Xenopus tropicalis: one gene and its partner. The protein of the gene in region 1 binds, or shares a complex with, the protein of each later gene. Links are inferred from orthologs where the notes say so. Each region holds a gene or a part of one and is shown on either strand. Other genes may lie near its edges.

Region 1 (10,284 bases):
CTCTTCCTTCTCAGCCACATAGAACTTACCTTCCTACGCCTTGTCTTTATCATGAACTCCCTGGCAAGGTGTGGTGCTGGTTGTGGTTCCAAGGGCCGTATAATGATGCTTTTATCCAGAGGGTCTCCAGGAACAATCTACCAAAAGATAGCAGGCAAGTTAAACAGCAAACTGGCACAGTGCATTATGAAAATACTAGCGCCAGAACTAGGGGTAGGCACCTTCCCAAAGCACAGTGGGGGGTGCAGAAACAGAAAATGGGTAATGAACTATCAATAACTTCTACTTTCCCTTCCTTTGCAAGATGTTCTATGTCAGTATGCCACTAACTGTCAGAAAGCAGGAAATGGCGTGGTAAAATCACGGGGGTGCCACTATTTCAAACCATATCCAAGTTGATTTCCCAGGATATCCCAGATGGTTAGATTTGTACCTGCCAGTGATGGAAGACAGACAAGGAGAAGGCTTGTCCCTGGGTGTGTGTTCGCAGGTCAGTTTCAAACCCAAATGAATCTATTGCTGGGATGAAGGCTTTGATTGTGTAAAGAGGCGACCCAGGAATTGGGGCGTCCTGAGTCACATGCCCTCTGTAGAAAATGAAATATATTTAGAGTATGTTATGGGACAATACTGTTGGTCAGGAAGCGGAATCTCAATTACTCACCTTCTTCGGGCCAAAACAGTATAAACAGCAGAGACACAGTCTGCAGGGGCTTGTACTTCCACAAAATAATAGGGCTCCATTAGACGAGGAGTTGCCTGTATTTACAGAGGAAAGTACTTTGTGTTTAAGAGAGAAGAACCAAGGCACATGTCTTATATAAAGAGACGGTATGGTATAGACAGGAAATACATATATACATGAAGGTGCTTGTTTGTTATAGTGGGGGATACAGTTTTAGGGCACAGAGACACTTCTGTATTATATATAAAGGAACATGTGTATTGAGTCAATGTGGTGACAAAGGATGTTACCATTAGGAAGGCGGAGTAAACCACTCTTCGGGCTGTGGGGATGATCTGTCCCCCACCACGGTGTAGGGGCTCCTGTGCGATAACAGCATCCAAGATCTTAAATTTGACATTGCGGATCACTGAGGAGCAAAGGAGAGCAGAAAATCAGCAATTCCCTGTAGTGCCAAACTGTAGAATGTTTCCAATGTTACACTGTGACGGAACCAGAGAAAGGTGCAGCCAGATACTCACACTCATCACACAACGGACCCTCTCTTGTTCCCCACTGGAATCCCTGTACAATGCTGTCTTTGACTGAACTCAGCAACGCCTTATCCACCTATTAGGGCACAACGGAGAATTTCATTAACATGCAAGTTGATGGGCAGTGCACATAAGCAGCTCTAGCTGATAGATATAGAGATATAGATCCCTGTAGCAAGCTACTTCTGCATTTACACTCTAGGGTAATGTCGCTGCTAGAGCACTGGGGCAAATATGGATGTAGGTTGAGGTTAATTGTTAATCACTGCGTTGTAATAAAATATTTTAAGGGGAACTAAAGCTTAACTAAAGAATTAGGCTAAAAATGTTGTACATTTTGGTTAGGGCTTCTGTAGCAGCCCAAGCGACCACAGCCCTTTAGCATTTTTAGGGTTTAGTTCTCCTTTAATCAGGACCTGCTTTTCTTCCTCAACCAGAATTGTGAGCATTAAAAAAAATCTTAAAAGGGAGCCGGTCTTTATATTTTGGCTGCTGGCTTGTTTCTCCCAGTGGCCGGAAATGCAAACCTGGCTGGCAGAAGTGGTACCTGGAAGAAGAGCACTAGACATTCATAAGAGAGGCTTTGTCTGTGTCAATACCTTGCTAGTTTGGCACAAAAATGTTTGGCCAGGGAAGGCAGCTCTGATTTCATCTGCACTCCCTGGAACTCAATTGCAGAAATAATTCTGAGAGCAGAATGAAAGTCTTTGTCTAAAAGGAAACCTGAATTTAAATCACCAGCTGAGTTCTGGTACTATAGGCAACATCTGCACCCCAATCAACTGATACAAAAACCAGGTGGATCATACTAGACTACTGCAGTATAACCTAAAGAGGTTACATCAGCCAATCATGAAGCTGTAATCACTTAAGCCAGTGGTCTCCAACCTTTTTCACCAGTGAGCCACATTCAAATGTAAAACAAAACAAACATGCAAAAGGTTCCTGGGGGTGCCAAATAAGGGCTGTGATTGGCAATTGGTAACATCTATGTGGACTGGCAGCCTAAAGGAGACTCAGTTTGGCAGTAATCATGGTTTTGATGCAACTAAAACTTGCTTTCAAGCCTAGAATTTAAAAATAAGCTCCTGCTTTGAGGGCACTGGGAGCAACATCAAAAGGGTTGGTGAGCAACATGTTGCTACTGAGCCACTGGTTGGGGATCACTGCCTTAACCCATAGGTGCACTGGCAGAAGTCATTTTATCAGTGTTCTTTTGCCCATGGAAAGCTAAAACTTATGCAGGTGCTTTTACACTAATAGGTAAGGAAAGCCTGGAGGATAAAGGATGAGTACAAGAACAAACAATCTCCTCTACTGCACAAGTGCCACCTACCTCGGAGGGGAGCGTGTCATCAACCAAAATATTTGGTCCAGTTGTGTCTGGTCCAAAAGCCCAAATAGAACGGGCAGCAAGCAAATCCCAGTCATATTTGGTCTGAAAAAACTCTCCCAGCTTCTTCCTGAAGAGGAAAAGATATAGAGTTCACACACAGCTTTAACAATCACGAGAGGCAATATTTCAGGTGCTGTCAATATACAGAAACTAAACATATACATTACAGCATCAAGAACCAAAATTTGCAGAATCTTCTATGTTTAGCGCTAATTTGAAGGATATCGGTATTTTATGTACATTCATATTTTTAAAAATATTTTTGGTGTCAGTATCACACACCACCACTTCTGTGAATTCTACAAAGATTCCCACTTTACATGCACAAAGCTTACGGCTCTCTGTAAAAAGGCTAAAAGATACATGATGGTGTAACCCAACCACGGCTTTCAGACAGCTGGGTGCAGTTCTCATGCAATACCTGTTCCAGGAAATCTGCACCACTTCATTTTCTATGTCCTCAGCCAATCCTTTCTCCAGCGGCTCCGCAATCATTGTGATCTTATTTCTGCAAAGAAAACTCATGCCTGTTAGCACTGAGGCAGCTCCAGCAAATATATATTATCCAACCATTCATTTGAAATAAATGTTTCAAAACAAAAATAGGGATATTTGTGTTCAAATATTGAACTTCTCACTGTGGGAAACACTGGCCTCTAGTGGCCAAAATGTCATGAAACTGTTAAAAAGCTTTGCTTAAAGGAAAAAACATCCCTTTGTTTGGCATGAGTACATTTATTTGGGCTTATGTAAAAGTCATTTAACCTCTCTCTCTCGCCTTGTTCCATGCTGAAATGATGGGTTCTGAAAATGGAAGTCCTTCTGCTTTCCAGGGAATCTCTGTCCACCATAGAAAGCAAAGGCACTTCAAGTCCCAGAAGCCATCACTTTAGCATTGATAAATGGTCAGTTAAAGGTTGATGCATGAAATGACTAAGGTGCTGTATATTGAAGATAACTAGAAAGATGACCAAGATCACTGGCCACTTGGGCAGTCTGAGCTTCATGTTTATAAAGCCCGAAAAAACAAAGTCCAGAAACTGCACTGAAATGGCCCGACATGTACTTGTTCCAATTTAAGTCTAGAAAGGGGCTGTTTAATGTGCTTTGCAACAAAGAAAAGTTCTGAGGAAAAAGCTAATAAATAACATGGACCTACTTCTTGTTTGGTGTCTCAGCAAAACATTTCAGTGATGAGGTTTCCACTACAGTCTCGCAGAAGGTAACCACGGGATCTGCCACCTGAAAACAAAATGTTGAGTTACTCCCCAAGTCCTGTAGGCTGCGAGTCCCACCCTCCCCAAACAGATACCACCCAGCCTAACCTTAATGTCAATCTCTGAATACATCTTGCGGAGGTCATGCATGACACAGTCCAGATACAGCTCTCCGGTACCGAGGATCACATGCTCCCCGGACTCCTCCACCTACAGAGACAACAGGTATTTTAGGCTAAGCCTCAAGCCTAGCAGTAGAGGTTAAAATGATATTATGTGGAAGAATTGAGCAGTACCTTGGTAGTAAGGGAAGGGTAGCTCTTGTTGACCTTCCTCAACCCATCCAACATCTTGGGCAATTCTGAGGGGTTGACTGGTTCCACAGCAATTTTAATAACGGACGTGGTGTTGAACTTTAGCGGTCGAAAAATCTGAGCCTAAGATGCAGGATTCAAATTAAATTGTTATTTGATTTATAACAGCATAAGTGGTTTTACTCTATTATTAAGCTAATTCCTAGATGATTGCTCAGGACCAAGTGATCATTTAAACACATCAATACATAGTCTGCATAATGAGATGATATAGCATACTCTGCGCTGACACATCTAGGCCAATGTACTAACTGATTTACATTAATAGCTATTGACAGGGAAATCTTTTTTTGCACGAGCAAACTGGGGGGCAGGGCAAAGGATTTCCCTGATGACAGCACTAATTAGGGAACTACCTTTATTTATTTATTTAAAGGTTTTTATTTTGCATTTTTAACATAGAAACAATACATATAAACGTGTAACATTAATAAACATCATGTGGTTTTACATCATGTTGTCCTGAGTTTTGAATAAGATAGCACATATGAGATTTGCATTCAGTCTAGTCTAGAGTAATGGTCCTTACGATGGGGAGGGAGGGGACCAGTTCAGTCTGTGGCATCTATCCAGCTCCGCCAGGTTTAGCTATCTATCTACTGTGGGAGGGGCTTGAGCCATCCAGTGTAGTAGTATACATTTCCTAACATAGAACACTAAACTGCGGAAGAGAGTTCTCATGTGGATTGTTGGGGTGAGGTCATCGACCACTCCCAATAGGCAGACCTTGGGTGTTAGTATGTTTGGGTTTTCTCTTTGATATAGCTCATTATTTGTGCCCAGTAAGATTGGATGGTTTGGCATTGCCAAAGGAGGTGTATATAGTTTGCCTATAGGGCATTGCATTTGGGGCATTGAGATGACTCACGTCTATTCATACGATACAGTCTCAGGGGGGTTAGTTGAAGCCTGTGCATGATCTTAAATTGTATCAATCTGTCTCTGGTTGAGGTAATCATAGGCCCTGTCAGTGGCTTCGTCTCTGAGGGAAGTCTCTGTGCCACATTGTATAGGGAACTACCTTTTACATGTTAAACACATGCACAGAAGACTACAATTGCCTAAGTTAAGTTTTAAGCATTTTTGTACCAGATACTGCTGCATGCAAAAATGAACTTGACTAAACACTAAGGCAAAAAAAAAAAAAAAAGTCCTGGCATAACCAATCTTATAGTTCTACACACAGTAAACTAACACACTCGGTGTAACAGAGATGCAAGTACCAAAATACAACAGGGCCAAAAAAAACTGCTATGTGGCAGAAAAAAGAATGTTATCATACCCTCTTCATAAAAGAGCTGTGGTCACTGTTATGTATAATTGTTCAATCATTCATACCTCCTCATTGCCCCGTGGCTCTGTGATGGTTGCCGTCTTCACAATTGGCTGGTCCACACCCTCAATCAACACCCAGTTTCCAGCTGGAACTCTGTTCACTTCAATGTGATACCTAAATGAAAGATCAATACATTTGGGAGGCAGATAACTAAATATGACTTATTCATTCACTTCTCTTTAGACATGCCCCCCAAAACCTGTTAATCATAGGTTACTGGAAAGTAATACTTCTATGAGGGATCCTTTGTTTCCAAATTCTTAATCTTCCGCAAATTATTGTTCAAATATTACATTATAAACCAAATTAAATGCAGAGCTGAGCAGTGGGGTTGCAGTTGCCATGTTTGCTCAGTGCTTAACTCAAGGCTCTACGTTATTGATTGCTACCCATGTGAATGCAAACAAAACCCATGATGGCAGCCAGTAATCATGCTCCTGCTCGATGACTATTGCTATGGATCCCTGGTCTGGTAATGAACCCCACTGCCCAACTACTTTGGAACCAGGTACCGGGCACATGACTTTTACCCAGTCAGGTTTATGCGATTAGGGATGGGACTTTTAGTTCCCCTTTGACATTAAAGTCCTGATTTCAATCCAGTGGAGGCACTGTGACACAGTTTCTAAACAGAGATGCCATCTGACTAATTTGAAGCAAGTCTGCTTGAAAAACATGTCCAAATCACCCCTGTATATCACTCACCTAGCTACAGACACCCACAGCCTCCCTACAGTGCAAACTTGAGAGTCCTCTTCATCCTCCAGTGTATAGTTCTCTCCCAAAACTTTGACTGGTTGCCCAGCATGGATTGTTCCACTCAGTAACCGCCCAAATGCATGGAACTGCACCCCATCATCTGTGCTATACATCTTGGTGGTGTGACACATAAGAGGGCCCTGAAAGGGAGCAACAGTTTTGTGGCGAATGTCAGTTAATAAGATACTTCAAATTATATCAAATATAAACCAGCATGCTTGTGGTCACTATCTAGAGTGTGTGCTCTTACAGTTTTGCCAGAACTTAAATCTTTCCTTATCCTACTTTAATCATGCACCAATAACCAGAGAGTGAAAACAGGGTGTCAGGGAGTAAAGCCAGAGAAAAGGCTTACAAGTAATTTGCACACCTAGGCACAACAAAGATAGCACCCCCTTGTCATTTTACACTTTGACTCTCTTTTAATTGTCTCTACAGAAAACCTATAGTGGATTTTTAAAAAAATGCTCATGTTTCATAAACAAACTTCTATTACTACAATAGCATTCCAGGTTATATCAGTGAACTGTTAAAGCCCTATCCCTTGTCTGGAACCTAATGATGCTACAGATTCCTGTACGCCTCTTTTCAGATTTCATGTGCTTCTACATTAGCTGCATGAGAGCAGGCTGAGAATTCAAACTATTACATAAAATAAAGATGTGTGGGGGATAGTGAACACATACTGAGTCAGGATTCATACATGTAAATAATCTGTTAGTGGAATCAATACCTAGCAGAGAATTTTCAGCCATACAGTAAACAAGAAAAAAAAAAAGTAATCTGTGCATGAGCTGTGTACTTACATCTGGGTCACATTCACTCATGGCCTCCCCTAGTTCACAATCAATGCCCCCTGCGTAGGTGTGTTCAATTTTGGCTCTTGCCCCCGCTTTGGGTGAAGGGATGTGCTGGACGCACATATCCACAAAACCTGTAGAGCAACAATTTCATCAGCAAAAAAGCTCAAAAAGAAAAAACACATATAAGTGGGGCAAGCAAAGACTGATTTAAGATCCTAAACAGAATTTAAAGCACATTTTTAAACCATATAATCTTTAACCTACTTAAAAGGTTACATTCAAAGCAAGTTTTAAAAGCAGAGCACAAATTTACAGCCTTAATGAAAATCCAATACACGGTGAGCTCGCTTTAACAAAATTAGGAGCAGCTGGCTCTTACCGGTAAATTCCCCGAAGAAGCGGTTACAGACAAGTCTCAGGAGGGGACGGATGTTCAGTTTCAGCTCCTCTTTGGTCAGATGAATTCCCAGCTCCTCTAGAGTCTGCGGCAGAGTGGTGTCTACATCCCCCACCACCTACAGCGCAGAGAAGGCGCTAAAATTATCAAGCGATCTCAGATGGGCAAAGATAAGCTTGGCACTATTAACACCATCCACATACCTGAGCCAGAATCTTGTAGAGAGGTTCCAGTACGAACTCCACAAAACTGCGTTGTGAGCTGCTTGTAGGGGCTTTCTTGGTGAACTTGCGGCTGGAGAAAGAGAAGCGCTGTGAGCGAGGCGTGCCTCAAGGGGTTATTTGGTTCAAAAGAGACTACAAGCAGACTTTTGTGGAAAGGTCCTGACCAACACTTGAGTGGGTTTTGGCAAAGAAGTAAAGCTAGCCATACTCAGCAAGGTCAACTCATCTTGCACCGTTATTCTGCATGGGTATGATAATTACAAGTGTGACTTTTGCCTAAAGTGGGTCTTTTATTTATATCAAGTTAAGTACTACTGCTTTAAACGCCTCAGAAATGACTTTTCTGTAATTAGTAATAAAGGGCAATTTGAACTTGTAGGAATAATCTTCTGTCACTGCCCTCCCCCAGGTCAAATACAGATCAATAAAATACTGCAAAAATGATCAGAGAAGGAAAAAAAAACCCCATTTGGTGTAAAAATTATAATTTGTAGTCTTTAAAGAATAAGTACCGTATATACTCGAGTATAAGCCGATCCGAATATAAGCCGAGGTACCTAATATTAACTAAGAAAACTGGAAAAACGTATTGACTCAAGTATAAGCCTAGGGTGGGAAATGCAGCCGCTACTGCTAAGTTTCAATAATCAAATAAATAACAGATAAATAGATAACTTTAGGGAAAGAAAAATGCTACAGCAGCAGACAAAAGCAAGTTTGGGAACGCTAAGGAAGCTGCCATACTAATTATCAAGTACTTGGACCCCAGTGTACAAGTCCCACCACAGTACTACAAAAATAATTTTCTTACATTTTGAAAATCAGTCTTGTGATTGCAGTACAGCAGCTCTGCTTTATGGCTGAGATTCTAGTCATTAGGGCAGTAAAATTCTCTGACTTTTCTTTTGTTATTTTTTTGTATTCATCAGACTGTATTTGTGTGTGGTTTCACACAGGAAGAAACACAAATCACAGTTGATGTAAAAGCAAAAGGCAGGTGTCTTTGTAGTGTAGGCAGTGTAAAAAGGACTTGCTTGGTGCATAAATCTTCCTTACATACAGTATAAAGGGGAAGTCCTGTTGGCAGCCATTCTGCTGAAGTGCCAAGAAGATGTAACGCGCACCCAACCCCCCCCTGCCCCCCGTGAACGGACGTGTGTCTAGGTAGATCAGGGGAGGGGGTACTAAACTAATGGCTTGTCCCGAAGAGCTTACACTCTTATTACACAGTTACAATGGCCACCACGCTTCCACTCCTACTCACCAATGACTTGCCCCTTGCTGGTCCCATCCTGCTTCCCCTTGACCCCCACTGCCTTAAGAACTCCGCTCCTTCCCCTCCTTGTTAGTGGCCAGAGACTGCCACTCATGACAAGCCCATCCGTGCACCAATCGCCTCCTTAGAAATACATATCCCACAATGCGGTGCGACCGAACTGGGCAACTTGTGATTGGCCGTGCGCTGATCTTGAAGCCGCCCCCCATGGATGGAGGTGAGTCCGTGCACGCAAGGTTAAGGAACTCTTCTGAATCATGTACAGTATCTGGGACAAGTGAGTTTTTGCGCAGGTGCTTGGCCGCCGTGTATAGTGATGAGTCGCTGTGCTGATCTGCCAGCCACATAATCTGCAGGCAGTTCTTTACCTGCACTGTCCGGACCAGGAAGCGGGGCCGGGAGCATTCTTCTTGATCTGACGATGTAATGCGCTCGGAGGTGAGTGTGTGTGCATTGCATCGTCAGATCAAGAGCCAACGGAGTGCACGGTGTCCATGCGCGCACACGCTATGCGACGTACGAGGTGGCAGATATGTTCCAGCTTACGGCTCTGTTTGAAGAATGCTCCCGCTTCCTGGTCCGGACAGTGCAGGTAAAGAACTGCCTGCAGATTATGTGGCTGGCAGATCAGCACAGCGACTCATCACTATACTCGGCGGCCAAGCAAGGGGGTTCGAACGCGTTACGTGCAGGACGGATACAAGTGGAGGGAGGTATACTCGAGTATAAGCCGAGGGTTACTTTTTGAGCACATTTTTAGTGCTGAAAAACTCGGCTTATACTCGAGTATATACGGTAAACCTTTTTTTTCTATAAGTAAAATTACTCTAAACAGCCTCCAGAATTACCTACCTTTGTCCCAGTATTCTCTCTGGCCTGGTTCCTCAGTTAGAAGGTAATCGTTTTTCTTTGCTTCCTTGTGCAGAGTGAAGCCCCACCCCCACTTCCTGTTCAGTTCTCTCTTCAATTCGACTACCTGTAGTCGACCTGGAGAGCCTTCTGGGCATGCCTGGAGGAAGCAGGTGCCAGTCTGTGCATTAGCAGGGGTTTTTTTTTTTTTGATGAGAGACCTGAACAGGAAGTGGGGGCGGGGCTTCACTCTGCACAAGGAAGCAAAGAAAAACGATTAACTTCTAATGGAGGAACCAGGTCAGAGAAAATGCTGGGACAAAGGTAGGTAATTCTGGAGGCTGTTTAGAGTAATTTTACTGATAGTAAAAAAAAAAAGGTTTACTTATTCTTTAAGCACTAGAATATTGCAGTAACTGGCATTAAACAAATAAA
Region 2 (10,384 bases), on another chromosome or scaffold:
TAACAGAATAATCACTGTATGTAAGATAAAAGCAAGATGGCTGACACAGTTCTCTCATTGGTCAGTTCTCTCGCATCTGTAATTAAGTTTTTCTTTAGAGAACTAGAGGGCGCTGTGGGGCAGTTTAGATGCATATTAATGCCCCATCTGCCTTTTAGACTGGAAACACGGAACACACGGAAACACGGATGCCTTTTATCTTACAAATAGTCGGCCCTTTAATAGCGCAGATAAAGGGCAACCGCAAAGTGCTGTCTTTCGATATCGTGGCCATCGTCTCGTCCCATTGGCCGGCAGGAGAAGGAGCTGCTCACGCCCCCAGTTCCGCCCCCTGCGGAACAAATCCAGTGACTGATTCTATAGGAATAAACCCGGCGTCTCGGACATTCGCAATAAATAAACGAACCAGTTCCGCCATTCACACACACACACATAAAAAGATCACACTCCCTGAACCGTAAAGACCCGGGGCGGGCACTTGGGGCGCTTGTTCGGAGGCTCACGCACAGTAGTACCAGTCGTTGCATTTTACAGCGTTTTCGCCTTCCTTGTAAACTTTTTGCCTTTGTTAAAAAAAAATAAAAAATACGAAGCGTAGACTTTTTTCACTGGGGGCGGGGTCAGAGTTTGAATATCTCGTCCTCGTGATCTCTGATGGTGGATGCCCGCGTGGTGATGGTGAGCGGCACGGGGCCCAGGAGAGAGCGCTGCTGGGTCTGCGGGGAAGACTGGCTGGAAGGGGTGCGGTTGGGCGACTGATAACCCCCGGCGCTGCCCGCCGTAGGCTCATCTTCCGTGGTGCTGGAAATAATGGTGGGCACACGTTACAGAATTGCTTTTCTCTGAAGTCAGGTGACTTTTTGGCAGCCTCAGACCCGACCCAGACCAACACACCTGCAACATGGACCTGTCTGGCCAATAGGTTTCCCCACAGCTGACCCGCCCACCCCGCCACAAGCCCCTTAATCAGGAAGTGACATCTGAATTAGCGGGACCAACGATGGGAATCAGAGAGTGAGGTCACTACTAGTGATGAGCGAATCTGTCCCATTACGCTTCGCCGAAAAATTCACGGATCTTTCAAAAGATTTGCGAAACAGCTGTTTCGCGTTAAAAAATTTCGCCCGTGACTATTCTTTTGTCGCCCGCGCCTATTATTTTGTTGCGTGGCTATTCTTTTGGTGCACGGCTATTCTTTTGTTGCGCGGCTATTCTTTTGTCACCCGTGGCTATTCTTTTGGCGCCCGCGGCTATTCTTTTGTTGCTCGGCTATTCTTTTGTCACCCGTGGCTATTCTTTTGTCACCCGTGGCTATTCTTTTGTTGCGCGGCTATTCTTTTATCACCCGTGGCTATTCTTTTGTCGCCCGTGGCTATTCTTTTGGCGCCCGCGGCTATTCTTTTGGCGCCCGCGGCTATTCTTTTGTTGGGCGGCTATTCTTTTGTCACCCGTGGCTATTCTTTTGGCGCCCGCGGCTATTCTTTTGGGGCCCGCGGCTATTCTTTTGTCGCCCGCGGCTATTCTTTTGTCATTTTTTCATTTGTTTCACTAAACAATCCACCAATGGAAAAACGCGGAAATTCGCCGCGAATCCATGCCTGCCAAAACATTTCGCCCATCACCAGTCACTACTTGTTTGGGAGACCGGAAGTGACATCACCAACAGGCTAGATCACCAGGGGAACTCTAATTTGCCCCATTCTCACCCTGCCACCCGTATTAACAGCCCAGTAACCCTCTGTCATGATTTCAACCCTAATTTTACTTACCTGCCCCCCCTAAGTCCTCTAAATCAGGCAGAGCAGGGAATATGGTTAGGGGCAGGACTGGGGCAAGTATGTGGGTGGTAAAGGCGTGACCTGGGAGAAAAGGGGGTGTGGTTAGGAGGCACTGCAGTACTTTACAGCTGTGCCCAACTCCCTCTGTTGGGTACCCACAGACCGCCCACACACTCAGGGCATCAGGGCTTTTCTGCTCAAATCTTGTCCATATTCCGTGGCTACCCGGTCCGATGCAGGACTCAGCTATGTGACTACCAAATCAAAGGGCAGTTGAATCCTAACAACCACCAAATGTAACCCATAATGCCACAAGCACGGGACACTTAATGGAGAAGTGAACCTAAGAGAGCCAGTAAAGGGGAAGTAAAGCGGTTTATACATCAAACCATGCGTGGGAATGAACGTAGAGCTGGCTTGGTGGCTGCCATATTGTAACCTAAGGCTAACTAGCCCTATTCCGAGGTTCCCAGCATACTCACAAGGACTCCCCTTCCCGGAGTTTCTTCACCGCCGCCCTCTTGGAAACACGGATGTTGGTGTCCAACCTGCTCATGAAGTCCAATGGCGACATCTCGTCCTTCTGGGCAGCATGGTGTCGGCTCTTCTGCTTCTCGCCCCTCTCCGGCTGCTGCTGTATGGGAGACCCTTCGGCCCCTGAACCGTCCTGAGAATTCTGGTCGTCGGAGAGATGCAATTGGTCGGCCAGCACCGGGATGCAAAGGGACTTCTTGAGGAATATGGAGTCGTTTGTGTAGAGCCTGTTGGCTCGCTTGATCTGCTCCATCTGGAGACAAATGGCATTTATTTTGTGATTGGTCCAATTGACCCCCCCGAATACATTGACAAAGAGTGACAATTGGACCATTTGCCATTTCTTCTATGGGCATTTCGTGGGAATTTCCTGCAGTGCAGTTGTGTAAAGGGGAAGTGGTGGCTCGGAAAGAGGGATTTCTCAATCTCTGGCCACATCCCGGCCGACTGTCGGCTGCGCAGGGTGCGTCTAGTTTCCCTGCAACTTCCCCAGGAGGGGTCACTCAGCAAGGCTGCCCTTAGCTTAGCTGGGGATGTACCCAGTACCCTGCCAGCCTTACCCACTGCTAATCCCCCTGCCCATGTACCCAGTACCCTGCCAGCCTTACCCACTGCTAATCCCTCTGCCCATGTACCCTGCCAGCCTTACCCACTGCTAATCCCTCTGCCCATGTACCCAGTACCCTGCCAGCCTTACCCACTGCTAATCCCTCTACCCATGTACCCTGCCAGCCTTACCCACTGCTAATCCCTCTGCCCATGTACCCAGTACCCTGCCAGCCTTACCCACTGCTAATCCCTCTGCCCATGTACCCTGCCAACCTTACCCACTACTAATCCCTCTGCCCATGTACCCAGTACCCTGCCAGCCTTACCCACTGCTAATCCCTCTGCCCATGTACCCAGTACCCTGCCAGCCTTACCCACTGCTAATCCCTCTGCCCATGTACCCAGTACCCTGCCAGCCTTGCCCACTGCTAATGACTCTACCCATGTACCCGGCAGAGCTTCCCTCTTTGAAGACAGATTGTAGGGAAGAGAGGTGGGAGTCTGGGAGGCTGGTTAGTAGGAGATTGCAGTAATCTAAGCGAGAAAGGATAAGGGCATGGATTAGTGTTTTAGCTGTTACTTGTGAAAGAAAGGGGCGTATCTTGGCAATATTGCAGAGGAAAAATGGCAGATAACCCCAAGGCAGCGTGCAGAATTAACAGGGTTAACGGTCATGCCATCAATAGTCATGGTGAAAGGAGGAGAAGTGATATTTAAGACCAAAAGAAGAAATAAGGTCTCCTAAAGAGAGAGTGTACAGGGAGAACAGCAAAGGGCCAAGCAAAGGGCCCCACACTGAGCTGAACCCCCACACTGAGCTGAGCCCCCACACTAAGCAGAACCGGGGTAGGGGATTGGTTAGTAAGAGCGACAGAGAAGGAGCGGTTAGAGAGATAGGAAGAGAACCAGGATGCAGCCTGATCCCGGATACCCAGAGAATGGAGACTTTGTATAAGGACTGAATGTGCCCTGACAGTGTCGTGCACCAAATTCACCATATTTTCATTTCCCTTCATGTTTATCAGGCCCACCGGCTGTATCTGAACCCAATGCCTTCCTGATAACATCCTGGGGGGTTGGTTCTAGGGTGGGGCAGGTAAGGCATGTCCCCTGGGGGGGGGAGTAGAGAACTGTACAAAGGGCATATGAGACTAACAGCTGTTAGATATTACCAGTTATACACAAGGGGTCTCCAGCTGTTGCTAAACTGCAACTCCCAGCACCCTACACCCTATAATAGGAAGGTACCGTACTCACCGTGACGCCGTATCTGAGTGCCAAGCCCTGCAGTGTGTCCCCGGGCTGGACCTGGTGCTCCAGTTTGCGGATCCGGGCCGGTGAATAGGGCGACTGGACTAGGCTGCCATAGGAACGGGTCCTGGTTCCATGGAGAAGCCCAGAGTCTCTGTGCCCAGAGTTGGATGCCATGGCTTGTGAGCTCTAAAGGGCAAGTTAACTATACATTGTCTGACTGGGCAGAGGTGGAGGCAGAAGTGGAGGCAGAGATGGAGTCCCTGCAGCCCTCAGTCACATGCTGGGCTACTAATTCAATCAGACTGAAAGAAAAAGGGAGAATTCATTAGTATCACATGACAGCACTGACAGGGGTTTGCCCAAGGGGGTTGGGCTGGGCTAAAAGCTGCCCCAATACCCCCAGCACAGACCCACAGCCCTTCCAGCTGCCCAGCACAGGCAAGTACCCAATAATACACAGCTCACTGCTGGGCAGGGGTGACAGGAGCAAGGCATGCCGGGAGCAGTAGTGCAGCACAGGCTCTGCCCCAGGATTCGCGGCTCTCACGGAACTACAAGTCCCATAATGCCCGGACTCCGCCTCCTCCTCTCCGGAAATAAACTACATTTCCCGTAAGGCCGCAGAAAGGAGTACGGTGGCCGCGCAGGGTTACAGCTCTCAAAGGGGGCGCTACAGGCTGGGCTATGTCGTTTAAACGGGATGGGGATGATCTGAGCCAGCTGAACGTTCTAAAGGTACGGGGTGATACCCATACAGGGGAGGGGAGGGTGTCTGGGGGGGGAAGGGTAGGGTATGGTGTCTAGAGGTGGGGGGAAGGGTGGGGTAGGGAAAGGTAGGGTGCCTGGGGGTGGGGGGAAGGGTAGGGTGTCTGTGGGTGGGTGGGGTAGGGTGCCTGTGGGTGGGGGTAAGGAAGAGTAGGGTGCCTGGGGGTGGGGGTAAGGAAGAGTAGGGTGCCTGGGGGTGGGGGTAGGGAAGGGTAGGGCGCGTGGGGGTAGGGAAGGGTAGGGTGCCTGTGGGTGGGGGTAAGGAAGAGTAGGGTGCCTGGGGGTGGGGGTAAGGAAGGGTAGGGTGCCTGGGGGTGGGGGTAGGGAAGGGTAGGGCGCGTGGGGGTAGGGAAGGGTAGGGCGCGTGGGGGTAGGGAAGGGTAGGGCGCGTGGGGGTAAGGAAGAGTAGGGTGCCTGTGGGTGGGGGTAAGGAAGAGTAGGGTGCCTGTGGGTGGGGGTAAGGAAGAGTAGGGTGCCTGGGGGTGGGGGTAGGGAAGGGTAGGGTGCCTGGGGGTGGGGGTAGGGAAGGGTAGGGTGCCTGGGGGTGGGGGTAGGGAAGGGTAGGGCGCGTGGGGGTAGGGAAGGGTAGGGTGCGTGTGGGTGGGGGTAAGGAAGAGTAGGGTGCCTGTGGGTGGGGGTAAGGAAGAGTAGGGTGCCTGTGGGTGGGGGTAAGGAAGAGTAGGGTGCCTGTGGGTGGGGAAGGGTAAGGTGTCTGTGGTTTTGGTTTGGGGTGTGGGTAGGGTGCCTGTGGCAGAGTAGGGTGCAGTTGTAAGGGGGAAGGGTTAATTTAATATCCCATTTCCTGTCTCCCTACAGAAGAGGCGAGTGGCGGATCTGCTGGCCAGTTACATCCCGGAGGATGAGGCTTTGCTTCTTAAAAATGGCAGGTAAGGGTCTCTCCACTGATTGGTTCCCTCGGTGTGGGCCCCTGGGAGGGCTTGCTTCTATATACCCTTATATTCCGGGGCCCCTGCCTATCCCTCTGTGTAACTGTGTTGTGTATATAACAGCTACGCTTGCACCGTGTGCCATCACCGGCCCGTCTTCAGTACCATCGATATGTTGTCTGTGCACAGAAGCGGGAAGAAGCACTTAGCCGGTAAGTTACTGACTAGAAAAGAGATCCATTTCCTGTCTTATGACTTCATTTCCTCTCCAGATTTCTGACATAACGTCCTGTCTGGCATTTGCGGATCCGAAGACTTGCCTAGGGATGTTCCCCTGTTGATTTATTAATTATTTATTTTTGTATTTATAACTTCCTGTCTGACTTTGTGACTTAACTTCCTGTTATGACTTCATTTCCTGTATGCCATTTTAATGTGGAGCCTGTAGCTACTGGTCTCTGCCCCAATACCAGGTTTTATTCTGTCTCCTCCCCCATTATCTTTCTATACAGGCCCTCTTCTGTTCATATACCAGTTTCTCATTCATTCTGCTGCCTGGTTGCTAAGGTAGTTTGAACCCTAGCAACCACATAGCTGCGGAAAACTGCAAATAATAAAAAATGAAGACCAATTGCAGATTGTCTTAGAATATTCTCTATATCATACTAAAAGTTAACTCAAAGGTGAACATCCCCTTTAATGACTGGTCACATGTCTATAATACATATTTGTGCAATGGGCCGCTGACTCCCTCTCAACTCTCCTACAGGTCAGCAGCGGTATTACGGCAAGAAGCTGGAGCATAACAATGAGATCCAGAAGAGGCGCCATTTTGATTTTGTACAGGCAGAAGATGCAGGAGAACAGGTGGGCAGATTTCTCTTTCTCCAGGCTATTGGCTATTAGGGGGCTGTTCCTGCTGAATTGTGCTTAGTACAGGGGAATCCCTATGTGCCATAGTTTTATGGTATCTCTCTGTACAGGCTATGAGCAAACTTAGGGGGTTGTTCCTGCTGAATTGCGCTTAGTACAGGGGAATCCCTATGTGCCATAGTTTTATGGTATCTCTCTGTACAGGCTATGAGCAAACTTAGGGGGCTGTTCCTGCTGAATTGTGCTTAGTACAGGGGAATCCCTATGTGCCATAGTTTTATGGTATCTCTCTGTACAGGCTATGAGCAAACTTAGGGGGCTGTTCCTGCTGAATTGTGCTTAGTACAGGGGAATCCCTATGTGCCATAGTTTTATGGTATCTCTCTGTACAGGCTATGAGCAAACTTAATGGGCTGTTCCTGCTGAATTGTGCTTAGTACAGGGGAATCCCTATGTGCCATAGTTTTATGGTATCTCTCTGTACAGGCTATGAGCAAACTTAGGGGGCTGTTCCTGCTGAATTGTGCTTAGTACAGGGGAATCCCTATGCTGCCATAGTTTTATGGTATCTCTCTGTACAGGCTATGAGCAAACTTAGGGGGCTGTTCCTGCTGAATTGTGCTTAGTACAGGAGAATCCCTATGTGCCATAGTTTTATGGTATCTCTCTGTACAGGCTATGAGCAAACTTAGGGGGCTGTTCCTGCTGAATTGTGCTTAGTACAGGGGAATCCCTATGTGCCATAGTTTTATGGTATCTCTCTGTACAGGCTATGAGCAAACTTAGGGGGCTGTTCCTGCTGAATTGTGCTTAGTACAGGGGAATCCCTATGCTGCCATAGTTTTGAGTAACTTTTTTTTATTTGCTCTCATATCTGCCAGCGTCCACCAGGTCCCGCCCCTTTGCTGGTCCAGACAAGGAAGATTACCCAGCATGCTCTGCTGAAATCTGCCCCGTACAACAGCTGCTGCTCTCACAAGTAAATCAGTTGGGGCTGAGCATTATGTGAATGATTGATATAATAATGACCCATTGCTAATGGCCCCCGGATTTCTCTGTTCTTATGGCCAAACCATATTATCGACAATTATATTTCTCTGCTGTTTCTCATTTGCAGATCAGTAGCCAATAGCAGGAAAGTCTATGATTGCCATTCCAGCCTACCCACAGGCTTAAACCATCCCCAGTCTGGGCCCAGTGCATCTGATGCCTCCCTACATTCTCCCCCTAGTGGACACTGCAGCAGCCCTACAGGTGAGCCATTCGCCAGAGAGGATTCTGGGAGATTAAGATGACAACTGGACACTTTATTTATAGGGAGCCAATACCAATCTTAGCCAGGCTGCTACTGTATACACAAGTAAATCTGATCTGTATATAGGGCAAACCTGTGCTCCTAATGTAGCCAAACTACAACTCCCAGCATTACTGTGAATTGCACTCATTCATTCTCAGCCTCTCTTCGTTCCCCTATCCAGAGATTCCCAAGCAGGAGGTCCCGGCAGAAAAGCACGGCAGTCAGCACAAGAAGAAGGGCGAGGAGAAAGTCAAGAAGGAAATTCCAGACCCAGAGAGGGAGAGGACTATGGAGCACTACCTGCGACTGAAGAGGTAGGAGTTACCTTGCTGGGATTGCTAACCCCTGTTGGGGCAACATAGCAGCTCCCAGTAGGTATCAGAATAGCACTCAATAGTAAGAAATCCAAGTCCGGCTTGGGACTCCTCCAGTTACATGGGAGTAGGAGAAACAATAGGTTAGCTGAAAGCAGTTCTAATGTGTAGCGCTGGCTCCTTCTGAAAGCTCAGACTCAGGCACACTTTACTGCTGCGCTGCAAGTTGGAGTGATATCCCCCCCTTCCCTCACCCCCAGCAGCCGATCAGCAGAACAATGGGAAGGGAGCAAGATAGCAGCTCCCAGTAGGTATCAGAATAGCACTCAATAGTAAGAAATCCAAGTCCGGCTTGGGACTCCCCCAGTTACATGGGAGTAGGAGAAACAATAGGTTAGCTGAAAGCAGTTCTAATGTGTAGCGCTGGCTGAAAGCTCAGACTCAGGCACAGTGCACTGAGATGGCGCCTACACACCAATATTACAGCTACAAATACATTTGTTGGTTCAAGAATAAAATGTTAAATGGCAGAGGGAATTATTTGCTGTGTAACAGTGTCTCTTCCCCACAGCTCTGGGTGGCTACCTGACGGCACTGGCAAGTGGGTAAAGGATGAGAATGTCGAATTTGACTCTGATGAGGAGGAACCTCCACCCTTGCCCCCCTCCTGATTGGTGGGTTCTCCGTGTGATGTGACAGTAGCAACCCTGAAGGTGTAACGTCATCCACTTGGGGACAAAAGCAGCCGTGTGGGTACAGCATTAGCGACTGTAATACAGCCGGTGTGAAACAAGTGGGTGGGTGGCAGCACAGCTTGGCATTGCCTACAGGAACAGCGCCCACTGGTGTAATGACTGGGCACAAAATGACATTAGAATTCATGCACAGTCCTGCATTACCATACTCTGCCCATTAGAGGGCACTGCAGCCCAAGCATCCACTCTCGGATCTGTTTTCCAAAACCTTCCCGTCCCTTGGCATCTGTGCACTGCGTGAAACTGAGACACCTTGTTACTATATATGCCTTAAGGGCCACATTTCTGCGCTATTTATTGGTTCGGAGCCTGACTCTGAAACCTGAACCACACACAGATATATGGACTTTTATATGCAGGAATAAACCAGGCGCAGCCCCTTCCCAGAATAGAGTTAGCCCCAGTCAGTTGCACTTTCCCTTTAATCACATTTCTCTATTATGCCCAGTTTATGAAGGCGAAACATCTGGTTGATGTGGTTTACAGAGCAGGAGGATTTTCTCAGTAAGGAGCAGCAGTTCAACAGACGGGAGGGGGGGGGGGGGGGGGGTGACTGTACTTGCCGAGCTGTGAGTCCCCCACCCCACAAACCTTAGCCCTTCACCAACTGCTGATTCTTCATTATATAAATACACCACATGACCTCAGAGGCCGAGAGCCGAGCAGCAGTGGCTTTTTATAGAGCAAGGAGCTTGCAGACGTGTAAAGGAGCCCGGGGGAAGATATACCCCAGGGAACCACCATGATATTAACCGGGGGGGGGTCGGACTACGCGGGTGGCTAGCACCCAACCCAACCAGCTCTTGGGGTGCAATCTACTTGCCGATGGATCTATCTAGAATGCATTATGCAGCCATTGAGTTCAAAGTCACTTTATTTACAACTTGTTAAATATAATGTATTTATTTCCCCCCCAAACCCGTGGTATTGGCGTCACTTCAGCTCCGTCGCAGCCTTCGGCACAATGTCGTGAGCGTTAAAGTGCAGCCTGTAAGGAAAGAAGGTGCTGTACATGGAGGAAAAGGGCGGGGCTTAAGAGGGAGATAAGCAGCGGGGCAGCATGGGAAGTATCTGAGAAGGCCACTGAGATGATGATGATGATAACATAGTGGGGTAGAAACGTATATACAAGAGGAAAGACCCTAGTGTGCCCTGTTTATTCCACTTTATAGTCTCCTGAATATTCTCCGTGAATTACGCCCGTGGGGCCTAGCCAAATCCGCCCTCCGTCCAATCAATGCGCTGTACACAAACATGACACATCACAGAACAGAGCCTATTTATAGGTAACGGGAGAACACTGACATTTCGACAATCAGGAGGGCAACGGACTCCTTAGACCTTCTTCTGCTTGCGACCTAGAAAACAAAAGGAAGAG

Evidence for each region.
Region 2: eftud2 (region 1) and scnm1 share a complex: the UniProt entries of both Homo sapiens proteins name them as parts of the minor spliceosome. The link is inferred for Xenopus tropicalis from reciprocal best matches to the Homo sapiens genes EFTUD2 and SCNM1.

What each region holds. Positions count from the first base shown.
Region 1 is NC_030686.2:17,876,735-17,887,018, reverse strand, and holds part of eftud2 (116 kDa U5 small nuclear ribonucleoprotein component), read right to left. Parts: intron 7,795-10,284; coding exon 7,704-7,794; intron 7,619-7,703; coding exon 7,483-7,618; intron 7,235-7,482; coding exon 7,107-7,234; intron 6,441-7,106; coding exon 6,247-6,440; intron 5,656-6,246; coding exon 5,544-5,655; intron 4,269-5,543; coding exon 4,128-4,268; intron 4,042-4,127; coding exon 3,940-4,041; intron 3,857-3,939; coding exon 3,774-3,856; intron 3,123-3,773; coding exon 3,036-3,122; intron 2,682-3,035; coding exon 2,555-2,681; intron 1,295-2,554; coding exon 1,207-1,294; intron 1,095-1,206; coding exon 976-1,094; intron 760-975; coding exon 665-759; intron 588-664; coding exon 434-587; intron 138-433; coding exon 30-137; intron 1-29. UniProt on the Homo sapiens protein: Required for pre-mRNA splicing as component of the spliceosome, including pre-catalytic, catalytic and post-catalytic spliceosomal complexes. Component of the U5 snRNP and the U4/U6-U5 tri-snRNP complex, a building block of the spliceosome.
Region 2 is NC_030684.2:137,905,737-137,916,120, forward strand, and holds the start of scnm1 (sodium channel modifier 1), read left to right. Parts: upstream 1-4,704; 5' UTR 4,705-4,799; coding exon 4,800-4,850; intron 4,851-5,696; coding exon 5,697-5,767; intron 5,768-5,890; coding exon 5,891-5,979; intron 5,980-6,536; coding exon 6,537-6,634; intron 6,635-7,521; coding exon 7,522-7,619; intron 7,620-7,757; coding exon 7,758-7,894; intron 7,895-8,118; coding exon 8,119-8,251; intron 8,252-8,822; coding exon 8,823-8,922; 3' UTR 8,923-10,341; coding exon of another isoform or gene 10,342-10,364; 3' UTR 10,365-10,384. Other genes in the region: lysmd1 (lysM and putative peptidoglycan-binding domain-containing protein 1), read right to left, coding at 621-801, 2,261-2,565, 4,119-4,289; tmod4 (tropomodulin-4), read right to left, coding at 10,342-10,364. UniProt on the Homo sapiens protein: As a component of the minor spliceosome, involved in the splicing of U12-type introns in pre-mRNAs. Plays a role in the regulation of primary cilia length and Hedgehog signaling.